Linked DNA regions of Rhinolophus ferrumequinum. The protein of the gene in region 1 purifies or fractionates together with the protein of each later gene. This does not show direct contact. Links are inferred from orthologs where the notes say so. Each region holds a gene or a part of one and is shown on either strand. Other genes may lie near its edges.

Region 1 (7,441 bases):
CTCTTCCAAGCACTTTGTCCCCAATACACATAACCACCCAGGAGAACTGCCAGCCAAAATACCTGCCCAGCCATTTCATACATGACGGATCCAAGATGGCACCCAGAGGTCAAATACTTTCTAGAGGGAGGGTTGACCCCTGCAGGGTGTGGCCCTGAGGCCCCCTAACTTCAGACTGCAGTGGGTCATCAGTCCTTACCTCCTCTAGTGCCTGCTACCACTCTCTCCCCCACCCTGTTCCTCACCTGGAAATGAAAGATACCGGCATAGCCATCCTGGAAGCTTTGGCCATGTGGAACCACTCGGTGCAGGAGGGTGTCATTGAGGGTGAGAGAGGCAATGGCAGCCAGGAGCCAACAGTCCCCTGGGATGGGAGACTCACATCAGGTTGCTGTACTGAACTGCTCCTGGTGGGGCACATGCGTACCCATGCTGGGGAGAACCCGGGGATCCCTGGGAAGTATACCCCTCAACTTACGGAAAAAACCCAGGAATCTGGGCAAACCAGCCCCAACACTGATAGCCAGAGCCTGCCTGGGCTTGCAGGAGGGAGGGGTTGGGGCAAAGCCAGAAGGAATGGGCATGGGGAACTCCTATGGAAAAAACATCCAGAACCCCTTAGGGCCTACCCAGCGCTCCCTGGCAGATATCTGTGCGGGTGGCTCCATCCACGATGAACTGGGGGTTGGAGAGCATCTCCTGCAAGAGACCCAGAGTCCTGTCTCTGGGCCAGCCCCTCACAGAAAGTGGAACCCAGCCACCCCACTCCCCATTAGGGACCTGGAGTCCTGTTCCCATTCCTCACCCAGGGTAGCCCCTCTCACCGTGGGACGCTTCCACCTGATGCCATAGGTTTTGGAGGAGTTGGGGCCCAGCTCCTTGAAGCCCAGGCTCTGGGGCACTGGGGGAAAGGCGTCATCACGGAAGAGGGCCCCACTCTGCAGACATTGAGCCCGCAGCTGCTCGTAATCCTGGCCCAGGTACTTGATGGCGTTTTCATGGCGGCCCAGGCCCAGCTCCTTGGCCCGCTGCTTCTGCACTTGTGCAGACACCCCAGTGCAATACACTGGGGTGATAAACTCCTCAGCCATGCTACAAGACAGATGGGTCTGCTCAGAACTCAGGCCTTCCCAGGACTAGAACTCAGGGGGCTCCTGCCTGCCCCTGCCTACCCTTCCTCCCTAAACCTAGAACTCAGGACTCGCCACTGGCCTCTGCTCCCAGGAGAGGGGCTTTCCAAGCTGGGGTTGTGCTGGCCACCATCTCCCTACACCCACACAATGCTACCACCTCTCCTTTCCTAGATGCTTACTGTCCTAGGCCAGCCAGCTAGGTGGGGCAGGGCTGAGCTCGGGATAACACAAGGAACCGGCAAGGTGGGAGATCTCAGGAAACGCCTCTGACCGTTTGCCTGCCTGCAATCCCCTCATACTAGCCAAGCTCCTACCCACTGGCCCCTTTCCCTGGCTTTGGGGCTGAAAACGACAGGCAGTCAGGGTCCCCTCCCAAGCCCCTGAGACAGGTTGGGTGATCAGGGCACGGGGCCTCATTCTTTTCCCCTCCCGGCTTTCCCCCAGCCCAGCCTTTAGAGGCAGCTAGGGCAGGCTCCTGGGCTGTAGGGCTTCAAGGGCCCCCGCCCCTGTACCCGGCGGGCGCTCAGAGAGCCCAGGGCAGGGGCAGCCTCTCAGCCCGGGAGCAGTGGCCAGGATCGGAAATCCTGGCCCCGCCACCCAGCTCCTTACCTGGAGGAGGAGTGTTTTGGGGGGTCGCTGTGGTCCTGCGGCTGGCTTCCCGGGTGGCAGCTCAGGGCAGGGCCCAACCAGGAAGAGCGCTCCTCCCCGCCCTCCTCCCGCTGCCCCTCCGCCCTCCTCCCTCCCTCCTTCTTCTTCTCCTTCTCCTCCTCCTCCTCCGGCTCCTACCCGCTTCCTCTCTATCTCCCTTATCTCTGGGGCACCTTCTGTATCTCTCTTACTCACGGTGTCTCCCTGCCCCTCCCTCCGCAGGCCCACGGCCAACTCCGCGAGGACAAATTAGTAAAAGGCAGAGTTGTCCCTGGGGAGGGGCCAGCGCCTGTTGGGTGGGGAAGGCTGGGGCCGAGACGGAAGGGCACTGCGGGGGGGGCAGGGCAGGGCAGGGGGTATTTTTAACCAGGGGCAGCAGCTCGAGTTGCAGGGCCGGGCGGCCCCACCCGACACTGCAGCCCTGGAGGGCATTCCCGGGCGCTGGGCCGCGGCGGCAACGCCTCTGGCAGCCCCCAGCCTGTCCCCCGCCCCTTGGGCTCCTCCCTTGGGCCCCTCCTCCACACGGCCACAGCCATCCTTACCCCCCACCCCCACCCCCAGTGGGTCCCCAGCGCGGAGCTGAGATTACCTCCGGCGGCAGCAGCTGCTCGGCGGAGGGTCCGGGCTGGCGGTGAGTGGACCCCTGCCGGACGCTCGGCAAACGGCAGCCCCACCTGGCTCGGTCCGCTCTGCAGCAGCTGCAGCCGGCTTCTCGTGCGGGGCCGACTCCCCACCCTGGCTACCTGGGGAAGAGGCTCCCAGAACCGCCACTCCGACTTAGCGGCTCCGTGAATCCGGGCCGGGAGCAGGAAACTGGCCCCCTAGGCCGCGCCTTGTTGTATGACCTTGGGTGAGTGCCTGCCTCTGTCGGCCTTGGCTTCCCGGTTCGTGCAGCGAATGGGACGGAGGTGAACAACTGTAGGGGCCCACTTTCCTCTTGCGCTGTGGGGTTTCTTAAACCGGCAAACTGCGAGAGGCAGACATCCTCCCTTTTCCCCTTAGCCCTCGACCCACTCTCCTGGGAGCGCCCATGTGTGGTCTTACCCTGGAGGGGGCGGCAGAGGCTGCGAGCCGGACTGTAGGCCCACCTAGAACGGGAGATCCTGCCTACGGAACTGTAAGAAGTGGAAGAGCTAAGAAAAGAAATTGGGGGTTGGGGTACTCCTGTGGTTCCTCCTCTTCAGGTCCTTTCTCTGACTTTGGGGACACTAGCCTAGCCGCTGTTGTAGCTCTTACAGGATGTGTACACAAATATTTTGTTGGGCAAACGGTGCATGGCTCTCAGGATTTTACGACCTGTGACCCCAACAAGGTTGAGCCACTCATCTAATCTGACCCCACTGTTGCTCCCAGTTTACATATGAAGAAAATTGAGGCCTGCGAGGGTGTGTCTCGCTGAGCTACCTCACCTGGTGAGTCAGGGCCGGAACCAGCTCCTGGGCAGTTTGCTTTTCACAATTCAGCATTTGTGTGTCCAATAGTGACTAAACCCTTCTGGCAGGTCTTTGCACAGCAGACACCCATGACTAGGCAGACCAGCCCCTGCTGGGGGAGAGGGCTCTCCTGGTCCAGTTTTGGGGATTAAGAAAAATAATTCCTGATGGACAAGTAGGAGTTAACTACCGTGTTTCCCCTAAAATAAGACCTAGCCGGACCAGCAGCTCTAATCAATCTTTTGGAACAAAAATTAATATAAGACCGGGTCTTATCTAACATAATATAAGATAAGACCGGGTCTTATATTAATTTTTGCTCCAAAAGACACATTAGAGCTGATGGTTTGGCTAGGTCTTATTTTCGGGGAAACACGGTAGGTAGTGAGGTGCTGGAAAAGGTGTCCCTAGCAGAAAGAACACCATGTGCAAAGGTCCAGAGGCCAAGGGCACACATGCCAATGAGGGAAACTAAGTATTCCTTCCTTGTGATTAGATCACAGGGAGCAGGGGCCTGGGAGAAGAAAGATGCTCTGGACAGATGGTAGCAAAGGTTACACCTCCCGCCAAAGCACTCTGGCTCAAGCTATCTGTGCCACAATCCCCAGAATTACTTTCATAAACCTGTCACTCCTGACTGCATTCCATTGTTCATCAAATGGGCACTTACCACCTCATATGTGCAAGGCACTGTGATCCCCTGGGCATAAGAGAGTGAAGACCCATGGCCTCGGCCCCCTCTGAAAGAAGCAGAGAGCAACTCAATTATTACCCCAAATTACTTGGGAAGAAGATTTGGTACTAAGGAAGCGCATACCTGCATCCCTATCTAGTGTAGGGGTTAGAGTAGGCATAAATCAGACACAGGGAGTTATGGCAGGAGTGGGGGAGATTGCCTTGGCACAGCAGAACAGAAATATGCTTAGTGTTGCTTGAGTAAAGAGAGACAAGGCTGAGTAAGTCATGGGAATTTAGATTTTATTCTACTTGAGGTGGAAGACTGCTCAGATTTATATAAATGAAGGAGGAGAATGCATGGGAGTGGGTTGGATGGGGTGAGAGTGGAAGTAGGGAGTCCAGATAAAAGACCAGGGAAAGAGAATGGTTGGCTCAAACTAGGGAGGTGGTGGGCACAAGAGAGAAGTAGATGGATTTGATAACTATTTAGGATACACCATATCAAAATATAACTCACACTGGGTTATACACCTAAATGTAAATGCTAAACCTATAAAGCTTCTAGAGGAAAGCATAGGCAAAATACTTAATGATCTTGGGTTTGGCAAAGATTTCTTTTTTTTTTTTTCCTTGTTTTTTTTTAAAGATTTTGTTGGGGAAGGGGAACAAGACTTTATTGGGGAACAGTGTGTACTTCCAGGATATTTTCCAAGTCAATTTGTTGTCCTTTCAATCTTCGTTGTGGAGGGCACAGCTCAGCTCCAGGTCCAGTTGCCCCTTGTTAGTTGCAGGGGGCACAGCCCACCATCCCTTGCGTGAGTCGAACTGGCAACCTTGTGGTTGAGAGGATTCGCTCCAACCAACTGAGCCATCCGGGAGCTCAGCGGGAGCTCAGCGGCAGCTCAGCTCAAGGTGCCGTGTTCAATCTTAGTTGCAGGGGGCGCTGCCCACCATCCCTTGTGGGACTGGAGGAGTTGAACTGGCAACCTTGTGGTTGAGAGCCCACTGGCCCATGTGGGAATCGAACCGGCAGCCCTCGAGTTAGGAGCATGGAGCTCCAACCGCCTGAGGCACCGGGCCAGCCCAAGATTTCTTAACTATGATACAAAAAGCACAAACAATACAAGAAAAAATTAAATTGAACTTCATAAAAATAAAACACTTGTTCTTCAAAAGGTACTATTATGACAATGAAAAGACAAGACATAGACTAGGAGGAAATAATTGAAAAAATTATATCTGATGAAGGACTTGTATTTAGAATATATAAATAATTTACAACTTAAAAATAATCCAATAAAAATGGGCGAAAGATTTGAACAGACATTTCACCCAAGAAGTTATATGGATGGCAAATAAGACATGAAAAACTGCTTACCGCATCATTCACTGGGGAAATGCGAATTAAAACCACTAGAAGGACCACCATTACACATCTACTAGGACAATTAAAAAGACGGACTATACCAAGTGTTTGCAAGGAAATAAATACAGGAGCTGGGACTCTCGTACGCTGCTGATGAGATTTCAGAATGATATTCCCAGAATGACCACTCTGGGAAACAGTTTGGCAGTTTCTTAAAAAGTTAAACATATAGTCAGTGATAAGTAGAAATGAGCTATCAAGCTACAGAAAGGTGGTGGGACCCCAAATGCATATTGCTAAGTAAAGGAAGCCAGTATGAAAAACGACATACTGTATAATTTCAACTACATGACATTCTGGGGAAGGCAAAACTAGAGATAATAGAAAGAGCAGAGGTTGTGGAGGTTCAGGAGAGCAGGGGGGGATAAGTAGGTGCAGCACAGGACATTTTTTTGGGTAGTGAAACTACTCTGTATGATACTGTCACAAACCCACAGAATGTACATCAAAAGGGAACTCTAAGGTAAACTATGAACTTTAGTTAATAATAATGTATCAGTATTGGTTCATCAATTGTAACAAATGCATCACACTATTGCAAGATGTTAATAATAGAAGAAAGAGTGTGCGGGAGGGAGAGGGGAATATATGGGAATTCTATTTTCTGAGCAATTTTTCTGCAAGCCTAAAACTGCTTTAAAAAATAAAATCTGCCTTAAAAAAAGAAAGAAAAAAAATGCTAAACATACACTTACCATATGTCCCACCCATTCTACTCCTAGGCATTTACCCAAGAAAAATAAAAGCAAATGTCCACATATTAGTAGCATAAATATTAGTAGCAGTTTTACTTGTAATAGCCCAAACGAGAAACAAGCAAATGTTTATCTACAAACTGAATGGATAAAAAAATTCTGATCACGTATATATACATATACATATAATTACATATATTAGAATACTACTCAGCAATAAACAAGAACAATAATGGATGAATCTCAGAATAATTTATACTGAATGTAAGAAGCCAGACAAGAGTACATACTATATAATTACACTTATATGAAAATTGTAGTAAAAGAACACCAATTTAGTGACAGAAAACAGGTCGGTGATTGCCTGGGGGTGCTGGCAAGTGGGAAAGGGTGGGAGGGAGTGATTATCAAGGGCTTGAGGATACTTACTGCGGTGATGGATATGTTCATTATCTTGCCGATGGTAATGGTCTTATGGATGTATACATGTCAAAAAATGTACCTTTTAAAATGTACATATACATGATTTCTTGTATGTCAGCTTTGCCTCAATAAATTTGTTGAAAGCACCAATATGACTTAATCACTCGTTAGATATGACTTTTGGCAGACAGGGAGGGATCAAGGACAACTTTAGATCCTTGATCTGGCTTGACCCTTGTCCTGGGGGGGGACTCACTAAGTTGGGGGACAGTGGAGGATCAGATTTGGGGGTAACATTGGGAGCCACCCAATCCATGGGGAGATGCTTGAGATGGGAACAACCCTCAGAATAGAGGTACAAATTTGGGAGTCACTGGCCATTGGTGCCATCTGAAAGAAGTAGAGGCCAGGGGACAGACACTTTATTCTGAGTATAAAGATACTTCATAAAGATGTCAATTCTCCTTAATCTATAGATTTATTACAGTTAAAAATTATTACAAATTTTTTTGGTGGGGGAGGAATAGAAAAGCTGATTTAAAGCTCATATGGAAAAGTAAACAAGCAAGAATAGCCAGGAGACCTGAAAATAAAGAGTAACAGGTAGAGAGTAACCCTATCCAATTTTAAAACAGAGCAAATCTATAATAATTAAATGTAATAATGAAATAAGGATACTGACACACATAGGTCATAGGAAGATAGAAAAATCTAGAAATCGATCCAAATACTTGCAGGAATTTAGTACATGATAAGCATAGCATTTCAAATCTGTTGAGAAAAGATAGGTTTTCAATTAAAAATGTTAGGAAAATAGGAGGGAATTTTGTATGTGATAAATTCCAGATGAACTCACAATTTAAATATAAAAAATTAAAACAAAAATACAGCCAGGAGCTAAGGAAGAAGCTTTGTTAGTCATCTCAGTGTAAAAAGGTCTTAATTGTCGCACAAACCCCAGAAGCCACACACAAAAAAATTGATTTTACTGTATTTAAAAATCTG
Region 2 (7,588 bases), on another chromosome or scaffold:
TATATCTTCACGCATATGGGTGTACCCTGGCACACATACGCATGTGCACATACCTATGGCAGTTATAATAAGCTTGGGTTCTTAAGCCCCGAAGACCTGAATCCAAATTCCTATCCTTCCACTTTTTATGAAAGCTACATCCTGGCTCCCACTCATGCTCGCAGAAAACTCCCTCTTCACACAAGGCCTCTCCCATACTGCCCTTAAGGATACATCCATCACGGCCACCATGCTGCGACATGTGTCAATGCCAAAACCATCAGTCTTCAGATCTGGGTCTGTAGGGGACAGGTTGACAGAGGCCAGAGGTCACAGCTACCCCAGCTGCCATGCCTCTAAACCTGCCCTATGGGTTGACCCTAGTCACTCACGTCGGGTCACGACCTTGTTGAGAATGTTCATGAGTTCTGTGGCGCTGACCTCCATGTCCTGCAGGGAGAAATTAGGGGTAGATCAGGGGTGACTGAAAGGGGTCTAGGAGTGTCATGAAGGAGGATAGGAACTTTTGGATTGCCATGGTTGAGTGTGTATGTGCAAGGGCCATCCAAGGGAAGGCATGGAAGGGTTAGGACAGGTCTGGGGACCCCGGGTTACTTACCTCTCCAGCCAGCTGGGCAAATAGCCTCCGGAACTGCCGGACTTCCTCACTCTCATTGGCCTCGACATTGGAGTAATGGGTTCGTGGGGGCTACAGAGGGAGAAGATCTCAGAGCAAGTAAGGGGAGGGGCAGTACAGGCCTAGGTGGGAAAGTCAGAGTGGGCAGTGTAGCTGAGTGATCAAAGGAATGAGAGGTGGTCAGTGAACAGGGAGTAGGTAATAGCTAAGTTTGAGGACATGGAAAGGGAGAGACTTAGTAAGAGGGATATCATAAGAGGGAGAGGGGCTTTTCTAAAGGGACATGGAGGGATGCTGGAAAAGGCCTCTTAGTGAGAAGTCATCAGTTGTGGAGGTCGGCTTACCGGGGGCTCTGGGTTGTACTGCGCAGCCGCCTCGCTGGAGGGAAACGGGAATTAGCGCCAGGGGGCGGGGCGTCCAACTGGCAGCGCCAGCCCCCACACCTCAACCTCCCCAAACCCCAGCCTGCCACCCTTGGCCTGCCTTATCTGTCCTTGTCCTCACGTGTCCCTATCCTTGCTGCCCTGATTGCACCTGCGAGGAAACTAACAGGCTCAGCCCCCTACGGTGGGCTCCACTCCTACCAAGATTCCTCAATAGACCCAGCCCCCTGAAGGGCGTACTCTATAAAAGCTGCCCCAGCTTCGCGGGGCCCCGCCCTCCTCAGGTTCCATGTCTGTCTAGGAACCTACTCCATCCCTAGGGCTTCCTGAATGCTTGTGTCTTCCCAACATCCCACCCCAGCCCCATTATTTCCTGCCCCTTCGAGGGATCACTGCTCAGTGGCCAAGACTAATTAGGTCCCTAATTAGGCGAATTAGACAACCTGCCCTACTTCCACTACGACATTTTTCTATTTTAATCCAGCCAGTTTCCGGTAATGCCGTGCCCCTTCAAAACCGTTTCTCCTATCTCAGTAGGCCTCGGCCTCTTCAGGGCGCAACTTCTCATTTATCCACTTAAAAGTCCACACCAAGCCCACTTGACAAGCCTTGCCCCCACGAAGTGACACCCAGCCTCACTGGCTCCGCCCCCTTAACGTTCGTTTCCAGATTAGCGGAAGCAGGCGATATCCAGCCTCCCTAAGCCCCACCTCCTAAACCCCTGCCGGGACCCATCAACAGTCAATCGCGTCTCCCTAAAAATCATGTCAAGCCCCGCCCTCATAAACTGCGGTCAGCCTCATTAGGGCCCGCCCCCTCAAGGCTGGCCTCCCAGCCCAGGTCCCGCCCAGCCTAATTAAGGCTCCAGGTCAATCTCCAGGTTACCCCATTCTATTCTTCCCGGACAAGCCTCCTCCGCCAGACCCCGCCCCCTCAGGCCCCGCCCTACCTGATGGCGCTAATGACCCCGCCCAGGATGCGCATGGCAGTTCCACCACCGCCGCCGCCGCCGCCGATGCCGCCGATGCCGCCGCCGCCGCCGCCGCCACCGCCTCCGCCGCCGCCTCCGGCCCCGCTGATCAGGCCTCCGAGTACATTCCCCAGGCCCCCGCCCAGGCCTCCGCCTCCCCCTCCACCGCCGCCTTTCAAGAACGAGTTAACCAGGAACATGGCTACGACTCAAAGTTCCTAAGGAGGAAAAAGGGGTCAGCTGGCCTCCTCGCCCAGAGCCCGCCCCCTCCCCACAAAAATACGCATTTCTGGCAGCTGGACGTAGGCAGTAATATGAGGCCTCTAGGGGAGGACCAATCTTCCGGCTGGGGCTTGAAGAGTCCATTCGGGATGGGGTCTGGGCTTCTGAAGGAGAGCAGTTCTCGGGTGGGTGCGATAGGGACAGAGGATCAAGTATGAAACCTCCTCCAGACTGAAAGGGTCCCGGTCAGACTTGAGAGGCCTGGATTGAGTCTACACATAGGCATCATTAAGGGTAGGGGTCCAGGTCTGGTTGGGTTCTCGGGGGTCCCAAGTTGGTATAAGGCATCCTGGACGTGTCTGGACGCCCAAATCTGAGTCCCAGAGCCCAAGAACTGAACTAAGGGTCTTGGGCGGTTCAGGGGCGTGGATCAGATTCTCGGCCTGGAGGCCCCCGGGACAAGGTTTGGGAAATCCAGGATGTGGGTTTGAAGGTTTAGGTACTCCCAGCAGCGGGATTACAGTGTCACCGCCGGGTCTGTGGGCTCCGGTCCAAGATGGTGGGTGTAAGCCCCGGGCCCGGGATAACGGGGTTCTCCATTAGAACTGGGAGCACGGATCTAGCCGGGACTTTAGGGTCTTGTAGGGTCTGGGAGCCGTAAAGGCCGGGATTACGGAGTACAGGGGGGTCTGGCCCGGGCGCTCACCGCCTGTCTTACACGTCCGCTGGTCCGCTCCTCTGCGCTGCTCCCGGGCCTCTGGCTGTGTCCGGCTTGGTAGGGCGGGGCCCGTGACTCAGGCGACTTTGACCGGGTTAGGCTCTCGGGGGCCGCCCAGACAGCATCCGCGCGGTCCTAGCGCGGTCCTTGAAACTGCGCCTGCGCGCGCGGGCCCGGCCTTGCTAACGGGATGAGACCGCCCGGGCCCAGCCCAGCATTCTTCCGGCGCCGCGGGCTGTATCCCGGCCGTGACTTCATAGGTCTGAGGTTGTCCCTACATCTCGCCAGCCCGGTGAAGACACCCGGGGACGAGAACTCCAGAGTGACACCGCAGGTTGTAATGGGAATGGTCGCCCCGAAGCCGGCCTCCACCCGGCTACAGATGTGATTTTCTGTCGGCTCGAAACGGGACTCTTGGCACCCGGCCCCTATCCTGGCCTTGTTGCGACAGACAACATCCTAAGACCCCGAGTTTTATTTGGCTCACAGTCCGGGAACAAGCATCCGCATCTGGCAATGACTAAGGGTAGACTAGCTTTTCCCGGACCTTGTAGTAGCCAGGATGGTAGTCAGACTGCGGGTAGGACTTCGCCGCCTAAGAAAGCGGCCTTGTGCCCTCCACCCGCATTCCTTCACCCCCAAGTCAGGGTCACCAGAATAATTTTTCCTGAAGAGGCCCAAAGTGTCACCTCAGTCTCTAAAGTGGAGCCCGGACATAGGAAGAGTGTCGGCCAAGACCTGGTGTCCCAGGCTACCCTTCCCAAAGTCGGGTGATGGGCGCGAAATGAAGAAACGTAGGGAAAGTGGTAACTCAACCTGCCTTTAGAATCCTTTCTGTTGCTCTCCGGTTCCAGACTCCAACCTGTGCACATCCAGTACTTTTTCAGGGCTCTTCAGAAGGAGCTAAATCTAGCTACTGGGCAGTCTGGCCATCTGGCCATTAGCCTCTCCCCTGGAGGCTGGCTAGGCTTGTTTGAATCCTGCTTCTGCTCCCTAATAACTGAAATACGAAAAAGTGATTTGAAGTCTCTACGCAAAGATCTTCTAATCTGTAAAATGGGAACAAGTTTTCCCATGGCCCCCTCACAAGGCCCCTATCATAATTAAGTGATTAAAGCTTAGTAAATAGTAGCTCTTATCCTGTGTCTGTAACCACGCTCTTCCCTCCTGCTCACCTGGATTCCTCAGTTGGTTGACTCTTGCTCATCCTTAGATAATACTGATAAAAATAACTGCCACGCACTCTCCTAACCACTTTACATGTATCAGCTCATATATCCTCATAACTTTTATGGGATGGATGCTACACACTCTCCATTTTACAAATAAGTAAACTACCTCTGAAGTTAAACTCCCTAGCTCGTACTGGTAACCACTACCCTAATGAACTGATTCTTCAATAATATAATTAATATGAAAATAGCTCAGATAAGATCAAAATAGACAAAACCCACAGTCAACAGCTAATACTTCCTGAGGGCTTGCTGGGGCCAGGTCAAGGAACTCCTACACAAGCCTTGTCTATGAGGCAGGAACTAATAGGAGAGAAAATGGAGGCTCTGAAGGCAGGGTCACTTGCCTGAGGTCACAGAGGGTGTCATGACCAGGTCTGAAGCTAGGCTTGGCTCATGCCAAAACTCTTGGTGATGACTAATCCAGATTCCCGTCTCACCACACCCTTCCCTGCCAGACTGAGCAGCTTCTGTTCTCTGCCCTCTCCAGGGCTCACTTGCTGCCAGGCCTTCAATATGGACTGTGCCATCTACCTGGAACACTTTCTCCCTTTTTCACCTGGTTTTGTATCTCCTCAGGCTTTGGGTGTCAGCTGAGGTGTTACCTCTCCTGGGAAGCCCTCCCTGTCTCCACCCCCATCTGAGAGTAGGTGTGGCGTCCAGTTACATGCTTGTAACTTGTTCTTTCTCTTAGCACTCACTGCCAATTACAATCATATTGTGGTCCAGGTCTGTGTCCCCGACCTTTAACCCTGGCCAACTCCAGGTCTTAGGCCTTGGTCCACCTCTCTAACCCACTGAAGCCATAGAGGATCTCCCTCACATGCGTAGCTTAAATTCCATCCCTAGGCTATCAATACCCAAATTTCTATCTTCAGCCCAGGCGTCTCCAACCTCCTATATCTTGCATCCTACTCACCGTCTGTATAGGGGTCTTAGAGGTGCCTCAGGTTTCACACATCCTAAACAGCTCCTGACCTTCCTCCCAAACCTGCTTCCTCCCCACCTTCCCCACCTAGGTTAATGGCATCTCTGTCCTTCCAGTGGCTGAGACCAAACACCCCAGGGTCATCCTTGACCTCTTTCACACCCACTCCAACCCATCAGCAAACCTCTTCGACTCTACCTACATAATCTAAACTCTTCTCCTCCTCCACTCCTCCCCAACCCCCACCTCCATCCTCTGCCTCCTGGACCTCACGGGCACCTCCTCCCCAGTCTCCTGCTCACATCCCTGTCCCCACAGTCTGCTCCCCACAGGCAACCAAAGGGAGCATGTGAACCCGTGTCAGGTCAGGGCCCACCTGGCTCATAGCCCTTCCTAGACTGCACCTCACTCCAGATAAGAGTCAAAGGCCTCACCATGGGCACCAAGTCTCTAGTGCTCTGTTCTGTCTCCTCTCTGCCCTCATCTCCTCCCTCTTAAGAAAGTGGGAAGAAGCCCTACTGGCAGCTTGACCTGGATGTTCCCAGCTGAACACGGACAAGACACAGAGGAGGAGGCTCTGCCAGCACATCAATGTCTAAGCAGGGGGCCGCTACTCCATTACCAAGGCCCTCTCTAGCCCCACCTCAGTGCCTCAAGTATGCACATCTAGTGACCTCAGGAAGCCCCACACTCCCTATCCCACTCCACACTGCTCTTTATCACCTGCTAACGTACTGAGTGGTTTACTTATTTACCTAGTTTCTTGTCTCTCTCCCCCACTAGAATGTGAGCTCTTCAAGGGCAGGGATTTCTGTATGTCTTGTTCACAGCTATGTACCCAGTTCCCAGAACAGTGCCCAGAACATCTTAGGTACATAGGTATTTGTTGAATGTATGAAATACTTTGTGTGGATTTTCTCATTGAATTTTCAGCACCGTCAATGAGATAGTACAGCAAGCATTACTAAAGTCTTCCACCATCTTCCGGACTCCTTTAAACTCAGGCATGGTTATGTGACTTGTTTTGACCAATGAAATGTGAGTGGAAATGTTGGAAGTGTCACTTCCCAGTGTAGCATTTAAAGCCAGTGCAGGATGCTCCGGGCTCTTACCTCCTTCCTAGGCAACCTTGGGAGAGCTATGCAAACACAGAGCTGCTGCACAAAGGAAGCTACCCGGATCACGGAGCCATGGCATGGAGGACTTGTGCCTGTTTCTGTGAGCAAGAAATAAATTTTGAGGTGTTAGTCCACTAAGATCTAGGGCTCATTTGTTACCACAGTGTAACCTAGCCTATTCTGACTGTTGCAAGTAGATGTTGTTATGATGTCCATGAGGAAACCAGAAAAATGGAATTACTTGTCCAAGATTACACAGCTAATAAATACTAGAGTCAAGATTCAGACCCAGGAAAGCTGGCTTTGTAGCTCATGCTTTTAATCCTCACAATTTGCTGCCTCAATTATATTAATGTTACAATGCTACCAAGTAGGAAACTCACAATAGTCATGACTGTCCTAACTAATGCCTCCTGAGGGCTTGATGGGACCAGATTAGAATAAGTAATTTACAGGTACGTCTTGGAAGGCCTCTCACAACCTTCTGAAAAAGGAACTAACATGAGAGGAAGTGGAGGTTCAGAGAGGTGGAGTCATTTGCCTGCGGCATGGCAGAGCCAGGTCTAAACCCAAGCATGGTTGATGCCAAATAGTTATGTGATGACTATTCCAGATTACTGTACCTCCTCTGCCCTCCCTTCAATGGTGTATTAGTCAGGGTTCTCCAGAGAAAGAACTAACAGGCCATAGGGAGAGAAAGAAAGAGATTTATTATACTCGTATACACCCTGAGAGCAATTTCCCATGTCCCTAAAAATATAATTTTTTGTGTTTTCATAATATTCCATCCTCTGAAAGTTACTAGAATTTTTTTCATTCATTCATTCATTCATTCAACACACATTTATTGAGTGCCTACTAAATCCAGGCGCCCAGATGTGTGATGGGGATGTAGTGGTGAACAAAACTCCCGGGGCTTATGTCCTAGCAGAGGAAGACACACAATAAACAAGGAAATAAATAAACAATGTAACCCTTCTCTATTTTCAGATAAAGCATGTCCCAAAATATGTGGCAGAGATTGGCTAATTGCTTGACTAAAACTGCTCCCCTTTTTTCTTCCACACAAGAATTACATTTCCCGTCATCTATTGCAATTTTGTATGGATATGTAACCGACTTAAGGCCAACGGCATGTGAGCTGATGTGTCATATCCAGTCTCCAGGCTTGACCTTAAAAACCTCCCACAAGTGGTCTTCACTTTTTTCAACATCCATGGGCTCAACAGAGGGGACTCTGAGGACCTAGAGGTGGGCAGAGCCACAACATGGAAGGAGCCTGGGTCTCTGCTAGACTCTGTGGAGCAGAGTGACCCCACTGACTTACATTGGACTGTAGTGTGAATTAAAATATAGACTTATTAAGCCACTGAGTTCTAAAGTTTCTTCAGTTAAAAGCAG

Evidence for each region. The genes of interacting proteins can lie anywhere in the genome.
Region 2: the proteins of CAPN1 (region 1) and CAPNS1 purify together in Homo sapiens (co-immunoprecipitation; 4 studies listed by BioGRID and IntAct, counting the BioPlex papers as one, with this or other methods). This does not show direct contact. The link is inferred for Rhinolophus ferrumequinum from reciprocal best matches to the Homo sapiens genes CAPN1 and CAPNS1.

What each region holds. Positions count from the first base shown.
Region 1 is NC_046294.1:6,445,213-6,452,653, forward strand, and holds the start of CAPN1 (calpain-1 catalytic subunit), read right to left. Parts: upstream 3,003-7,441; 5' UTR 2,371-3,002; intron 1,891-2,370; exon of another isoform or gene 1,743-1,890; intron 1,093-1,742; 5' UTR 1,092-1,092; coding exon 825-1,091; intron 700-824; coding exon 630-699; intron 365-629; coding exon 246-364; intron 1-245. UniProt on the Homo sapiens protein: Calcium-regulated non-lysosomal thiol-protease which catalyzes limited proteolysis of substrates involved in cytoskeletal remodeling and signal transduction. Proteolytically cleaves CTBP1 at 'Asn-375', 'Gly-387' and 'His-409'.
Region 2 is NC_046298.1:36,387,368-36,394,955, reverse strand, and holds the start of CAPNS1 (calpain small subunit 1), read right to left. Parts: upstream 3,002-7,588; 5' UTR 2,898-3,001; intron 2,188-2,897; 5' UTR 2,170-2,187; coding exon 1,949-2,169; intron 995-1,948; coding exon 961-994; intron 689-960; coding exon 599-688; intron 430-598; coding exon 372-429; intron 279-371; coding exon 214-278; intron 1-213. UniProt on the Homo sapiens protein: Regulatory subunit of the calcium-regulated non-lysosomal thiol-protease which catalyzes limited proteolysis of substrates involved in cytoskeletal remodeling and signal transduction. Essential for embryonic development.